Neodiprion lecontei: one gene and its partners. The protein of the gene in region 2 purifies or fractionates together with the protein of the main gene of each other region. This does not show direct contact. Links are inferred from orthologs where the notes say so. Each region holds a gene or a part of one and is shown on either strand. Other genes may lie near its edges.

The links.
Region 1: the proteins of synaptosomal-associated protein 29 (region 2) and alpha-soluble NSF attachment protein purify together in Drosophila melanogaster (affinity purification with mass spectrometry; 3 studies listed by BioGRID, with this or other methods). This does not show direct contact. The link is inferred for Neodiprion lecontei from reciprocal best matches to the Drosophila melanogaster genes Snap29 and alphaSnap.
Region 3: the proteins of synaptosomal-associated protein 29 (region 2) and syntaxin-17 purify together in Drosophila melanogaster (affinity purification with western blotting; 4 studies listed by BioGRID, with this or other methods). This does not show direct contact. The link is inferred for Neodiprion lecontei from reciprocal best matches to the Drosophila melanogaster genes Snap29 and Syx17.

Annotation. Positions count from the first base shown.
Region 1 is NC_060263.1:28,720,395-28,725,963, forward strand, and holds alpha-soluble NSF attachment protein, read right to left. Parts: upstream 4,014-5,569; 5' UTR 3,894-4,013; coding exon 3,802-3,893; exon of another isoform or gene 3,759-3,801; coding exon of another isoform or gene 3,739-3,758; intron 2,222-3,738; coding exon 2,025-2,221; intron 1,930-2,024; coding exon 1,664-1,929; intron 1,528-1,663; coding exon 1,354-1,527; intron 1,221-1,353; coding exon 1,071-1,220; 3' UTR 511-1,070; downstream 1-510. Other genes in the region: ATP synthase subunit gamma, mitochondrial, read left to right, coding at 4,988-5,569. UniProt on the Drosophila melanogaster protein: Required for vesicular transport between the endoplasmic reticulum and the Golgi apparatus. Also between the endosome and phagosome.
Region 2 is NC_060262.1:33,298,478-33,302,747, reverse strand, and holds synaptosomal-associated protein 29, read right to left. Parts: upstream 2,570-4,270; 5' UTR 2,425-2,569; coding exon 2,143-2,424; intron 1,793-2,142; coding exon 1,268-1,792; 3' UTR 549-1,267; downstream 1-548. Other genes in the region: uncharacterized protein LOC107219610, read left to right, coding at 3,113-3,198.
Region 3 is NC_060261.1:5,330,139-5,334,378, reverse strand, and holds syntaxin-17, read right to left. Parts: upstream 2,400-4,240; 5' UTR 2,163-2,399; coding exon 2,028-2,162; intron 1,908-2,027; coding exon 1,712-1,907; intron 1,489-1,711; coding exon 1,277-1,488; intron 1,189-1,276; coding exon 972-1,188; intron 900-971; coding exon 763-899; 3' UTR 511-762; downstream 1-510. Other genes in the region: gastrula zinc finger protein XlCGF8.2DB, read left to right, coding at 3,608-3,664, 3,892-4,240.

The DNA.
Region 1 (5,569 bases), on a different chromosome or scaffold from region 2:
AATTTTGTCGGGAATAATTGTTAATATGTAATATACAAAATACAATATTGACATATACGTTTACACAACATTGAAATAATCTCGAAATTGAGAATAACCTACCAATACTATATAACATTATTAACATTTTTGCATGGTTAACTCGGCAGCTAAATAGTATATCTTCAATGAAACTGGTAAAATATTACGTTATTATTAATTTAACATTATTATAGCCAATATATGTATATTTATTATAAGTATATATGTATATATGAATGTAGTCAGTGCATTATGTTACTAATTATGAGTCACTTAAGGTGAAAAACAGTACAAAGCAATGATATTAGTTACAACGATTCAAAATTGAATTTTAAGTTTTTATAACGTTTCAAAAGAACGGAGTTTCAGTTAATTCAGAAATGTGAAAAAAAAAAATTCGTCGTAGATAATATATCCCCACTTATGTTAGCACTGATTGTAAATTGCCACAAAGTAACGAACGGGAACTGGAAGAATGAGAAACAACACTTTCTCCTGGAAGTTCGAACTTTAATTTAAATGAAACATATACACATTATTATTCTGAATTGTAATCCAGGTAGCCTTTCTAAACGTTATAAACAACCTAATGAGGCTTTATCGCTATCTGTGCCTCTGAGCTATACCTTCAGTAGTGATCGTGCCATGTACTTTTAGGAACAAAAAAATTCATCGTTATATGTTCACTAGCAAAAAATTCATAAGTGTCGGATAGTAGAAAAATTTAATAACATCCGTTCCAAATTGAATCAGGCCCTGTGTAAGTGTGAATGAAGAATATTGACGTACTAGTGTTACAAACCGATTCCAACAGAATGTATTTACTACCATTCTTGAATATATTTCAATTCTATACAATGATACTTCACACATTTCTAAGAACGATAAACAATTTCGTGAGTACTTTAATAAAACACAGTATTCGTTTATCCCCTTCAAGACGCAAGGGTCTGAAGATATTCTATAAGCCTGGCTATGAGAGGAAGATGTGCACAATCTGAGTGGGAAGATATTAATGGCATATTATTATGTGTAAAAGAGTGAAAAGATCAGCGTAGGTCTGGGTTGTCGTTGACTTGTTTCTTAATGCGCAATAAGATCGTTGTGTACCAGGAATCCAACCGTGATATGGAATCATACTCCTTAACTGCTTCTGTGTATCCTTCCAAATTTTGTTCTTCTAGGTGCTCGATTAGCGTCTGTGTCAACAACAAAAAAGTAGGTGAAGATTTTAGGACAAAAACATACTTAACTATCTTAAGTATCTGGCATTTATCCACGTAAAATTTGAACTTTATTTCATTTAATGTTGATAATAAATTACTAATTTACCTTGATAAGTTTGTATTCTCTAGAATCCTGAAAAGCAGGATATTGTTCTTGATAACGTTCGATCGCGTGTTGAGCATTCAAAACATCGACGCAGAGATGGCATAATGCAGCACGAAAAAAGTACTCCTTCGCACTATATTTCAACAGCGAGCTTTCGAGGGACGAAGAGGCGACCTGTAAGTCATCAATCTCTATAAAATTATACATTACATCTCGCATAAGAGCAAGTGTTTAATTTGTTCTATTCTTATACACTAAGATCCCCTACCATCCTATCGTAAACCAAACAGTTAATATGAATCACACAAACCTGTTCATAAATCTGGATCGCTTTGTCGTAATTCTCAAGTTGGGCGGCATATTGTGCCACCTTGAGCAAACATTTATTTGCGGAAGAGTTACTTTCTTCACCCCGGAAATAGTCGGCTGCCTGCTCGTAGTGGTTTACTGCTCTATCAAGGTCGACAGACTCACTCTCATACATCTCTGCTATACTTTGATGGTGCTTAGCAGCCATTGTGAACCTTCCCATGTCCGTATATATCTCTATTGCTTTTAGAAGACAGCTAACTGCCTCTACAATATTGTAAAAAAAAACGTCAAATGAGAGGCACGTTCAGTGATTGCAATTCAAGACAGTTCAACCTATATCACACAACAAACAATCATACCATTTGGATCCGACTTTTTATAACAGTTGGCAGCATCTACGTAGTTTGTCGCAGCATCGTGTCTGCTACCAGCTTTGCCGTGAAGATTAGCTGCTTCACAAAATGCATTTCCTGCGGCTCCCCACTTTTTTGCCATTTTGAACATATTTGCTGCACGCTGATAGCATTCTACTGCTTCTTCTACCTTCGACGATCCTCTGTGGAGTAATACGCGCTTTTTTCAAATATTTTGTACGAATAACACAACGATTACACTGCAGTTTGTAATTACCGCTTTAGATTATTAAATTATCAATGCCAAAATGAAATCTATTCATCAGATAGATTGACAAGATTTTCCCTAATATCTCACAAGCTAGATACAGGCTGAAATTTTTTAATATAAATTTCTTGTATGTGAGATTCGGAAACATCATTGGAACAAACTATATCTTCAGTATTGCTTGGTCATGCTTCAAAGTTTCATTCCTAAACTGGTTTAACTATGATCTTCAAATTTACCTCCATCAGTTGTATGAAACAATTTTTAATGTAGGCATAATGTGTTTTTTGAGAATATTTTCTGTCATCAGTTTGTTAAGTAACATGAATTTCGTCTCGGACAAGCAAGTTCCTCATTCATCAAAGAAATGATTTTTCTGTTTAACAGTAACATATGTCTGTGAATTTTTAATGATACTTAAAATATCGTAGAAGATAATTCTTAGAAATTCGTTATCCATTTTATAAAAAACAATCAAGCATTTATGTTAAACTGAGATATCTTCAGCAGTTTAATTAATCACGTTGCATAACATTTTATCAATACTTGTGAAACCATTTAAATGAAGTTTATCTCTCAGCAATGAATTTTTTTGAAATGCATACCTTTCCTTGATTGAATCAACGAGTAATCACCCGAATATATTGCTCAGTGAATAAGTAATTTTATACTCTTATTTGTATTTCGATATCTTGTACTGCAAGTAATACACATAAACAAATAATTGGGTAAATATAAGTCCATGAAGAATAAATGTAATGGATAGTCTTTACAAAAATAAACTTAATTCAGTGGATTGAGTGAAGTCCGAATGTCGACAGGAAGCATTCTGCATATGAGAATAAACAAAGCTAAATAATACCATATCATGTTATTGTGAAGTTAAGATCAGGAAAAAATATGACTAAGAATACATTTTGTAATTGTTTCAGTTTTCAGTCGATTAACACAAAAGAACAAGGTAATGGATGCTAAGTTTACAAGCACTCGCGACCCTACTTACACAATATACTTGTTCAGTCGTACAGGACATACGACATACAATAACAATTCGGCAAATTATTGTTTAAACTTTAATCATGTGTGTAAATTTAAGATTGTCGAATGTCATATGGACCTTGTCACTCAACCATTGAACATACTGACTCTAAATTGATGTGTAAATTTGGAAGGTTTGTTATGCCCTAAGAACTGAGATTGGAGGAAAATTGTTAGACCTGGAAGTAGTGCCTAAACGTAGCAATGAAGGGGTCGAGTTATGCACGTACATTAAAAAAATATTCATTTGATTTCAATATCAAACTCTTGATGATATGAAATTGGCGAATTCTCATGATTCGTACGATGAATTTCAAGTGATAGTAAAATACGTGAAAATGTATCGAAAATATGTCACTTAGGAATAGGATCGTTTATGCAAATCAGTAAGGAGCTCGTCAAATTGCGACGTACGTATCAATAAATTCGTCCATCCTTGCAGTCTGTCATTTTTCTGACAAATCAATATCAACTCACCCGAAAAGAGATCCAAAGAAACCTTTCGAGGAAGTTAATTTTTTTTCTGCCTCAGCCATGAGCTGTATGGCTTTCTGCTCATTGTCACCCATTATGATAAATACTTTTTAAAACACTTCGCTATTTCTCTATTATACTGTCACTCGCTTTATTGACAAAATCCATTCACTGTGCGCCACCAGTGAGCTCTGACCTGCTCTGACGTCACCATGAAGGAAACATCCACCCTATTCGTTTTCACTTATTTCCACTGAGGGAAGACAGGGGGGATCGCCGTTTGCCAATCGCGTTCGTCTATCTATGTGAAACCAGAAATTGAGCCATACATTGAGGTTAGGTTGATCCGTGTTTTGCGGGTGTTATTTTTTGATATGAAATGAAAGTGATATTCACATTTATAGGGTAATATTAAATGCCTGAACTTATATGTATGCATGTTTTATCATACATCATACGCCAAAGTCGAAGAACATTACCGTTCTTTTTCCTAAATAGATTTATGACTTGATAGTGGTGCATCCATCTGGCGGTGGAATTAAACATTATGCCGCTCAAGCTGAGTCAACGGCCGGGAGATGATCTTTGAAAAGCGGCCTACGTGATATAAAAAATTTTAAATGGTTTTACAGCTGTTCAATGGTTTAATCCTTTCAAGCTTTACAATATTTAATTCACTCGACGGGGCTGGGAAATATTTTATAGCAGGGATGACAAATTAACATAACAAACAGGATAGGCCTTCGTATTCGTGTCTACCTTGTCAGCAATTTCGTCTGTCTATCCATTAGTTGGCCATTGACCATTAGTCCCGGTTGTTACTCATATGCTCTTTGCGGTAGAGTATCTGTGGATTAGGTTGTCCCTGCTTTTCCTACCTAACTTTCTGCCAAATTTCTGGGTAAGTGTCTGGAACGGTTGTTTTTAACAAAAGAAGCCGTAAATTGTAATTGTATCGTGGTTTAATCATTATCCAAGGACTTTATTGTCGTTGACCGATGTACAATCATGCGTTATTATTTGCATACATTAAATCGGCACATGACTTATCTGCGTGAATCGATTACATAAATGTCTACACACTTATGCACGCACACAGGCATAAATTTCTGCTCGTCTGACATAATTCACCTTGTAAGCAAGTCTTTTTACGATTATAATTAATTTCAGGGGCAGGCCAAAAGTAAAGATGCTTCGTCAGACGTTAACTTTAGTGCCTGCGCACTCGCAGCAGCTTCAACAGCGGGGTATGGCGACTTTAAAATCCATCTCACTGCGTCTGAAGTCAGTTAAAAACATCCAGAAGATTACTCAATCGATGAAGATGGTGTCCGCTGCTAAGTACAACCGTGCGGAGAGGGATTTGAAACAGGCCCGCCCCCTTGGAGAAGGCACCAAAGCTTTTTATGAAAAAGCTGAAATTGCAGCACCGGAAGGAGTACCGAGCAAACTCGTAATTGCAATTACCTCAGACCGAGGTCTCTGCGGAGCTTGCCACACAGGAGTTGCCCGCAACATTAGAGATCAGCTCCTTGCAAATCCTGCAGATAAAGAGAACACAAAAATCATATGCGTAGGTGAAAAATCACGAGCTGTCTTAGCCCGAATTTTTGCCAATAATATATTGTTTGTTGCCTCCGAAGTTGGTCGCCTGCCACCAACTTTTACTGATGCTTCCAAATTGGCTGCAGAGATTTTAAACAGTGGATACTCCTTTGCATCTGGACGCATTGTCTACAATAAATTCAAATCTGTCGTTTCCTATGGAGTT
Region 2 (4,270 bases):
CTGGGTATAGATTACAATTTTTTGCTTTTAATTGTGTATAACAGAAAGTGCAACTGACGCTTACAGTATGAGTGTTAGAAGAAAATAATTTGCATATCCCGTACACGAAACGTAGGCTTTTATTTTCTTTAAAACAATAGGAAGAAATTTCAGGATAAAAATGTGATTACAAATGATGTATATATGTATCTTAATAATACCGTATCATATTGAGCAGTCACTGTTTGTCGTGGAGTATCGGTAAATGTAACACAATTTCCTGGTACAATTGACAATATAAGTTACACTATAAATTAATATATATTAATATCTTTAATGTTTATAATATAAATTAAGTTATATTTTCTGCCTCACAAAACATATTCATCTATAAATGAATCGCCTGTCATTTTAGATAATATTAATGCCTAATCTTGACACATCTATCAATCAGAGATGATACATGATCGTCATTGTTTCTCATTTCATGTAACGAGTTTCGCAGATTAGCTTCCCTTATTGCTTATTTTATATCGAAATGCATAGACGGTATATTTTTTGGGATAAGCCGCATTTTGATGGAAAAGATTCATAAAACTGAGATGGTATTCCTCGGAAGCATTGCCGTAAAAATATTATATATGCAGGAAATTCACCACCATTTGGGTATATCCAGGAAATGGTTTTACCCCTACTTTTACTCTTGCTAACAGTAACAAAGACAACAACATCTGAAATCATCTCGAATAACCAACAAAGTTATTCGGAACGCCCCGTATAAAATTACATTTACACCAACCTACATGTTTGAGTTTTAAAAAGCTCGAATTTACTCTGGTTCTGTTTACATATACGATCACGTACCCGAAGTGTAACGTTTATTAGAAATCAGAGATGGAACATATACTTTAATTTCAGTGACTTCTGTAAAAAGGGGGTGTATTAATGCTTGTTCGTTATAAAATTCACTATGCAAGTATTTGGTTTGTAATATATAATAATACATAATATTTCGTTATGAATGTGTTATACAATAATCTACTATTATCATAATATTACGACTACCTCAAAACCACCACATTGCTACTCGAGATTATCTGGATCCAGTTTCAGCAATCCACAGTGATTAAGTGTTTCATTGCAATAAATGATAGAACTTCAGCAATAGCGAGAAAAAGGCTCTGTTTTTATTACAGAGACCTGATAAAAAACATCCACTAATTGATCAACACAATTTCGACTGTTGAATCAATTAAGAAGTTACGATTGTTTATTGCACACCGCTGATTTACTTTTTCAGCAAACGTGTAATGTCTTTATTCTGCCTATCAATTGTAATATCTGCCTTTTCCGTTTTATCCATAACACTATCAATCAAATCATTCTGAGAATCAATTTCTTCCGTTAATCCAACAGCCAAGCCCTTTAATCTTGCTAAAGAACCGCTCATTTCATCTAGATTCTTTTCTAAAATAGCACTGACATTGTCGCTGGGACGAGGCAGTTCTTCTTCATCTAAAAGTCCTCGAATGCGCAAAGCTGGATGGTTATTGGAAAGATTGGTCTGCACGCGATCCAGAGGTTCAGATAACGGTGACGGCGATAATGACCTAGGGCTGGCAGACTCAGAAAGTTTCAAAGTATTGCTAGAAGGAGGGGGACCGTCAATCGACTTTCCACTAAGATAATTTTTAAGGCTACCGAAAACACTTTTTATTCCTTGGATGTGTTTCTGACTGAAACGCAACGTACTGTTGATATCGTCTAATCGTTTCTCCGTTTTTTCCAGCTGTTCCCGTTGTCTCATCAGTTCCTAAAATAAACACAATAACATGACAATGAAGCGATGAATAATCACTATTAATTTAGATCGGAAAATCTAGTGATAAATTGTTCGATCAAACGAACTAATCTACGTAAAGGTTAAATACAGTTATATTCAAGTCTTGGTCACTGGAATTATAGAACAACTTCAGGATTTCATTATTCCAGAGAAATGTTTTTAAGGAGAATGCCAGTTACAGCTGGGAAAAATACAAAATCTTCCTTCGCCTGAAGAAATACTTTGTTTCCCATATAAGGAGCAGGACAAAAGTTTCTTTTTTTTTTTTAAATGGAATTGTTGGTCAGATGGATGTAACAAGTGAATGATAAAAATTTTACCTCTGCTGTAGCAGCCCCGATTTGTTCCGAATCCCTCAAAAGAGATATAGATCTTTTGGATGATTGGAGAGTTCGTTGTTCAATGGCATTTTTGCGTTCCATCAGCTGATCCCTTTGTTGTTCAAGATCATTATTGTAATTGGTGTAACTATTGTACGTCGCAAAACTTGAAGACGGTTGCGATCTCGGTGGGGCACTTCGTAAAAACGTTTCATCGTCCACGTCATCTTCCAGTGCGAAGAAAGGATTTTTCGAATCACTCAAATAATTTTGACCAGCCATTTGAGTGTTGTCTACTTTTAACTCACCAAGGCCACTGCCCAGCAGCTCTCTATTCAACAACTTACTGACAGCGATTAGTCTATCACGGATAACCTCAAATACACCTAGCGATACGAATGCTGTCACTGACTGTCACAATGCGTGGTGGGCACACATCACTGATACACGTATGCATGCATGGAAGACACGCACACTGTCGATGCGCAGCGTATTTGTTTGTCGCCTGCCTTCTACGGGCCAATCAGAACGCTTGGAACGTTTACTCCGTGGTTTGTTATGTTATACGATGTTAAGATTGTGGAATTCGCAAGACTGGACTTGCGAACTCTGTTTTGATCAATCACCAGTGAAGTTGTAAAAAGATTAGCTTTGAATCAAAGGTAGCTTACTCTTTGCCGTAATTATTACGTCTCATCAATTCATCGTAGCGATCTAGCGGAAGACAGCGGTTGGTTGGTGAAAAAGTGATGTGAAAAGTTACGGGAAGAAGGCTGAGAAAATTCATTCATTCGGCGGTCTCGGCTTATACGTAGTCATTCTTTCAGTGCGATAGTGAGAATTGAAACTAATTTTTCTCACAATATTTATCCGAAAAGTAAACCTTACTATCGTCGAAATGTGGAATTAAACAAACGGGAGTTTTAAATTTTATAATTGTTTGTAAGATCTTGTGTGACGCAGTGATGAAATGTGGAAATATTTTCGAACGTTGCCGAACGTTCGCGAAGCAGTGGCCATCTTGGCTCACCGGACAAAAATTGGAAGCTGCGGTCGGTAAGTCAGACTCAGTACGCGTTCGTTAGTCCTCGTTAGTGGATCGTGGGTTAGTTTTGTGTAGTTTCGTGGCAACAAAGTTTCAGATTTTAGATCTGTGGAGCCGGATAATATTAATAGTCCTTTTAAGTGATGTACAGTTTTTGTTATGAGTGTGTATAGATATACGATTTTGTCGTTGAATACGGTGCATTCAGAAACGTTTACACGTCGTAAACAGTGAAGAGTGTGACAAAGTAAAATGACTCGCGATTGGTTCGCTCTCTCATCCAATGCCATGTAAAGAATATGGTGAGTGACTTTATTACTATATTAATTTACTTGCTTCAATTGTACTATAAGCGATATGTGGTCTGATAATAGTTACATTTCGAGGTTATCGGAACTTTCATTGAACGTACAATTGATTCACTACCTCAACGTCGGAGTTTTCGCACGCTAAAAAGTTGTTAAAATTCAGAAATATTAAACGTGTTGTCATATACATACTTCTTTTTCCTTCACTACTGGTAAATTTATCGTTACCACCTGTGGAAAAGTGAATTGCAACGCCTGATTTTTCAAGTATTTTATTGCAACAAAATTTACTATAATACTGATTATTGAAAAATTTATCATCGGTATGAAATTACAATTGCGTAACAAATGACAGCTACATTTAATGTTCAACCAACTATGTAGCATAAATGGGTGAATACTCTTTGTTATTTGTTGTGAAAAAATGATACGTACATGACTACGGACATTGAAATTGTCAGACCAAAAGAGTGTAGTGTGAAAAAGTGCAAAGCTCATGATTAGCTGTTGACTAGAGCCTGATTCGGCGGTGACTCCAGTGCAGCGAGGATCAGCTGATAGGTAAGCTGCACGTGCAGTTTTTGACTCAATGCCATGCTCGTTACCGAAGTGGTTTAACGCTGGCACAGTAATGGTCCATTTCTTTTTTCTCTACTGAATGACATGATGGCATTAAAGAAACGATAATGTCATTTGCCAGAATTTTACCATTTCTATTGAAACATAGATGAAATGATAGACTTATGTAACCGTCAACACTTTTCATTCGATTATG
Region 3 (4,240 bases), on a different chromosome or scaffold from region 2:
AGCTCCCTTAAAACAGTATTCTGTGTTCAATTTGCTGGATTGAGCGGTAGTTTTTAAAGAAGGAACAATTTTAATTCATTGACTATGAATACATATATTCAATGTGACACATCGAATGGCTCTGATCTAGCACGAGGTCGGTTTTTCGTAAATATACACAACAAACTACGCACCAACGATTGAACTTAACGGTTAACAATTGAATAAGTTCACAGTTGTTTCAATTGGTGGTTTCTATAATCGACTGTACCTGTAGAGTCGCAGCATCTAGTGGCACTTGTTTCAGTCGTCACGGTTGACAGCCTGCACCGTTAACCGCGAAAATTGAATTTATCTTGGATCGCAGAATTAAAAAAGTCTTGATCATCATCACCACCATCCCCTTGACAGAAGGTACGGGAATATTTTGTACGTCAAAGCTTTTAAGGAACCGCATTCCGAACATTAATTAGGTAGAATTATTTACTTATTTCAATGAGACTCCGATTGGACGTTATGCATAGTCCTGAATTTGAATGTATAAAATAGCGAGTGATTTTATTCAATTAGTAAAATATTTGTACATGGTTAATTACAATTTAGATCACAGTTAGGTACATTTTGAGGAAGGCTATCTTATTATCAAGCCATATATTCGTTCCGTATTCATATCCTTTTTATTTTTAGTGCGGATTTTACGGTGCTACTTGCTTTTTAACCGTTCCTTCACCTCTACATCATGGAGCAATGCAACTTACACTTTTTGCGTTTAACTTGTAATGGTCAAAGTTGTTTATTGCTAGCTTTTATATTTTCTGACGGCAAATCAGAACCATGAACACGTTCAAGTCTGTTTTCTGCTTGGCTTTCCGTACTTGATTTTATAGTTTTTTTCTTCAAAAGCGTTCCTCCAGTAAAACCTATTAGAAAAACAAAAGCGATATTACAACTTGTAATGATATTGACGACTTCATTACACGAATAACTTTTACCTAACAACCCACAACCAATCGCCGTGAGACCACCAAATTTTAAACCAGCGATTAAACCAACTGGACCTCCAAGACAGGTTCCAATTAGAGCCCCAGCTATTGGGTATGCCGCTATTTTGTATTTTCCTGCTTTCTCTAGGAACTTTGTACCTTCCGTGACATTTACTTCAGTCTCTTCAGTATTTTCTTCTATTCTGTTTACAAACTCTTTTTGATCCTGTGAAAGTTTGAACAAAACGTTGAAATATTATTTGAAAGAATTTTCAAACAGTAGTAGAAGCAAATTTCTCAAAAGTTAAACTCACGTGAACAAGTTGATTAAAGTCTACGAACAATTGATGCAGCTGTATCATATCATCCTGCAGAGAGTTCCAAGCATGCAGACAGGCCTGCTGCCTTTCCAATTCTTTCTCTTCTGCGTGCAGTTGGATATTGCCATCCTGAAATGGGTGGTTTGTGGCCTCATCTTCATCTTTGGTTGACAAACGGTTCATTGTAGGCAGATTGAGGTCCAGCGCTGCAATTATTGATAACTGAGTATTGTTGTTATTATTATTATTATTGCTGTTATTATTATTATTATCATTATTAATAGTATGGAAGAATAAACAAATTATTTATAACATGGCTAGAATTTAATCATTTCCATCTTACAATATCTGCTTTACTTTTTAGTTTTTAGTTTTCAGTCAGCAGATGTCCAAAAAATTTGAACAATGCGAAAATTATTCAATGCTTACCCAAATATTCTTTGATGGCATTCATTGTACTTGCTCTAGAGTATGCTGTGAGTTGATCGAACTTAGCGATATCGCTGTCTTGTACTTGGCCTCGCAGAACATCCATTTCGTACAATAACTGTTTAAGCTGTTTGACCAGACGAGAAGCATTCGTCTGTTCTTTATAGATACGGTCCCAGTCTCCGGTTTGTTTTAGCTAAAAAGTAAGACCATGATGATCAAGATTACTGATCATGTTAGCTGCCGTTTTTCTTCTCATGAGCAAAATATCGGGCAGATGGGAGATTGGGTTATCGATGTATGAAAAAAATTCAACCTTGGCGATATTAGTCTTATGTCTTCTGAGCATTCCTAAGTGATGTGGTATTGCGACGTCATTGAATTTGCTAATTGGTATTTCCAGCCGTTTGATTGGTTGCTTATTTCCTACGGTTTCACTGTGCAACGACATGGTTTGCCTACGTGTTTTAACCCAAGAAGACGTTAGCTGCTAAATTATCGTCTGACAGCGCTTGTTTATTGCTGATCCTTTTCAGTCACAAAACGACGTAGTTCGTTGGTTTGATTTTATTGCTTTCTAGTTACTTGAAACTGCAGATTTTAGCACCAGGCGCACTGAAAGTTGTTTTTCTTCTTTGTTATTTCTCTTTCCATTGGCGTATGTATCAAGGTACACCCCTAGACATGAAGACTAGAGAGAAGGAGACCGAACGCTGTACTGGGAACGTGGTCTATGAAAGTGGAGTACATTTTTAGCGTTAAATTCGATAGGAGTGCTGCTGTCGCTAAGATGGGCAACAGAGAGAGACTGAGAAAAGAGAGAGACCGCTATATCGAACTGAACAGGTCAAGGCCCTTCTTCCTTGTGCAGTTTTTTAGGTTATGTATTTGTTTTTAAATTTTAGCGAAGAAAAATCTACCTTTTGATGCTGGTAGGACAATAAAAATATTGCGGGCTTTATTCGATTGTTAGGCACCCCTGTCGAGTCAAAAGATGCGTTCCGAAACTAGTTGGCACCAGTAAAATCCCTAGGATGGAGGCAGAGCCAGCCCCTTGACACACGCTGCTAAAAGTGGTTCGCAAGATGTTCCTCGATTCTGCCGCCAATTTCCACCACTAGTGACGCTAGTAGTTATCTGACACGCTTGCGCGCGGTCAGCGAGGGCAGCGAGCGTGTCAGAAATCTACTGGCGCTACGTAGAGGAACTAAAAAACGGGGACAAAACGCGTACAATTTTTTAGTATGCGAGCAGTGGCGAGTGTCAGGGGGCTGGGCAGAGCTACTCAAGAACTCAGTAGCGCAAGAGAGGTAATAGATTGTTGATAGTACACTGGCAGCTAATTTCGGAACGCACTTAGAGGTGTTTTCATTTTCAACTGGGAGCCAGAGTGCCCACGAATGCATTTTCCCTAGGATTTCGTCCTCGCTATTGAGTGAAAAATAAGGATAAATTGCACGCAGTGTAGCCATTTGAAAACACCATAAAACGGAGTTAGAGCTACGCGCCTGATCGATAGGGTGAGAGAAATAGGAGATCGCTGATAGCACGGGCGGCTAACTTCATGTTATTCACGTACGGATCGAACGGAAACTAAACGCTTAGGATTGGTCGGACGGCAGATGTAAGAGAGCGCGACATTAGCAACGGCGTATTTGTTACCCAGTTTTCGCCCGTTAGACACTTTGACATGTGTTTATGCATCGTGATGTTTTGACAGTAGAAACGTCAAAACATTCTATATCGGGACAAGAAAATCGAAATATAATTGAATTGGTGAATGGCTTCCGGACTTGGAAATTGATAGTCAAATAAAAGACAGAAGAACAAAGAGAAGTAGAAGATAGAAATAAGTGATGAAGAAATTGATGTGATATCACCAGCTCGGGGCTGACGATGAATTCCCGGTGCATCAAAGTAGAACCGCTTGTCGAATTCCCGGAAATTGAAGTGGTGCGGTAATAAATAAATATAATTACATGTTATTACAGTTTAACCAAACTTCACGTTCTGTTGATATTTTCTGCACACAAATAACAATGTGTGGGTATTCGATTTTATACTGCAATTGCTGAAACTATGTCAATACATGCAAAAATAGGGCTGGAAAGTATTTTAACTTTAAAATAGAAGCAAAAAATTCACAAGCGCTGCGATATTCATCATTTTAATTTTCAAAGGTTCCGATGGATACCGAATTTGATGCGACAGATAACAGATTAGTTGGGGAAGAGGTGCTGGCATTAGAAGAAGTGGACAATCCGCAATTCTACGCAACGATATTGATGAAAGAGGAGCACTCTGAGGAATTGTATGAGGAGCCGAGCAGTAGATTGGATCATAATATATCGCTTTTGTCTGAGAGGGTGAAGAATCGTGGCGACGATATCAGTGTGGAAATAAGTTCGTTGAAGAGGAGTTTTCGATGTCCTTTATGCAGCAAGGAGTACGCAAGGAAAGATCACCTGAATTACCACATGAAAATTCATGCCGGTTTCAAGGATTTTAAATGCGACGTTTGCAACAAAG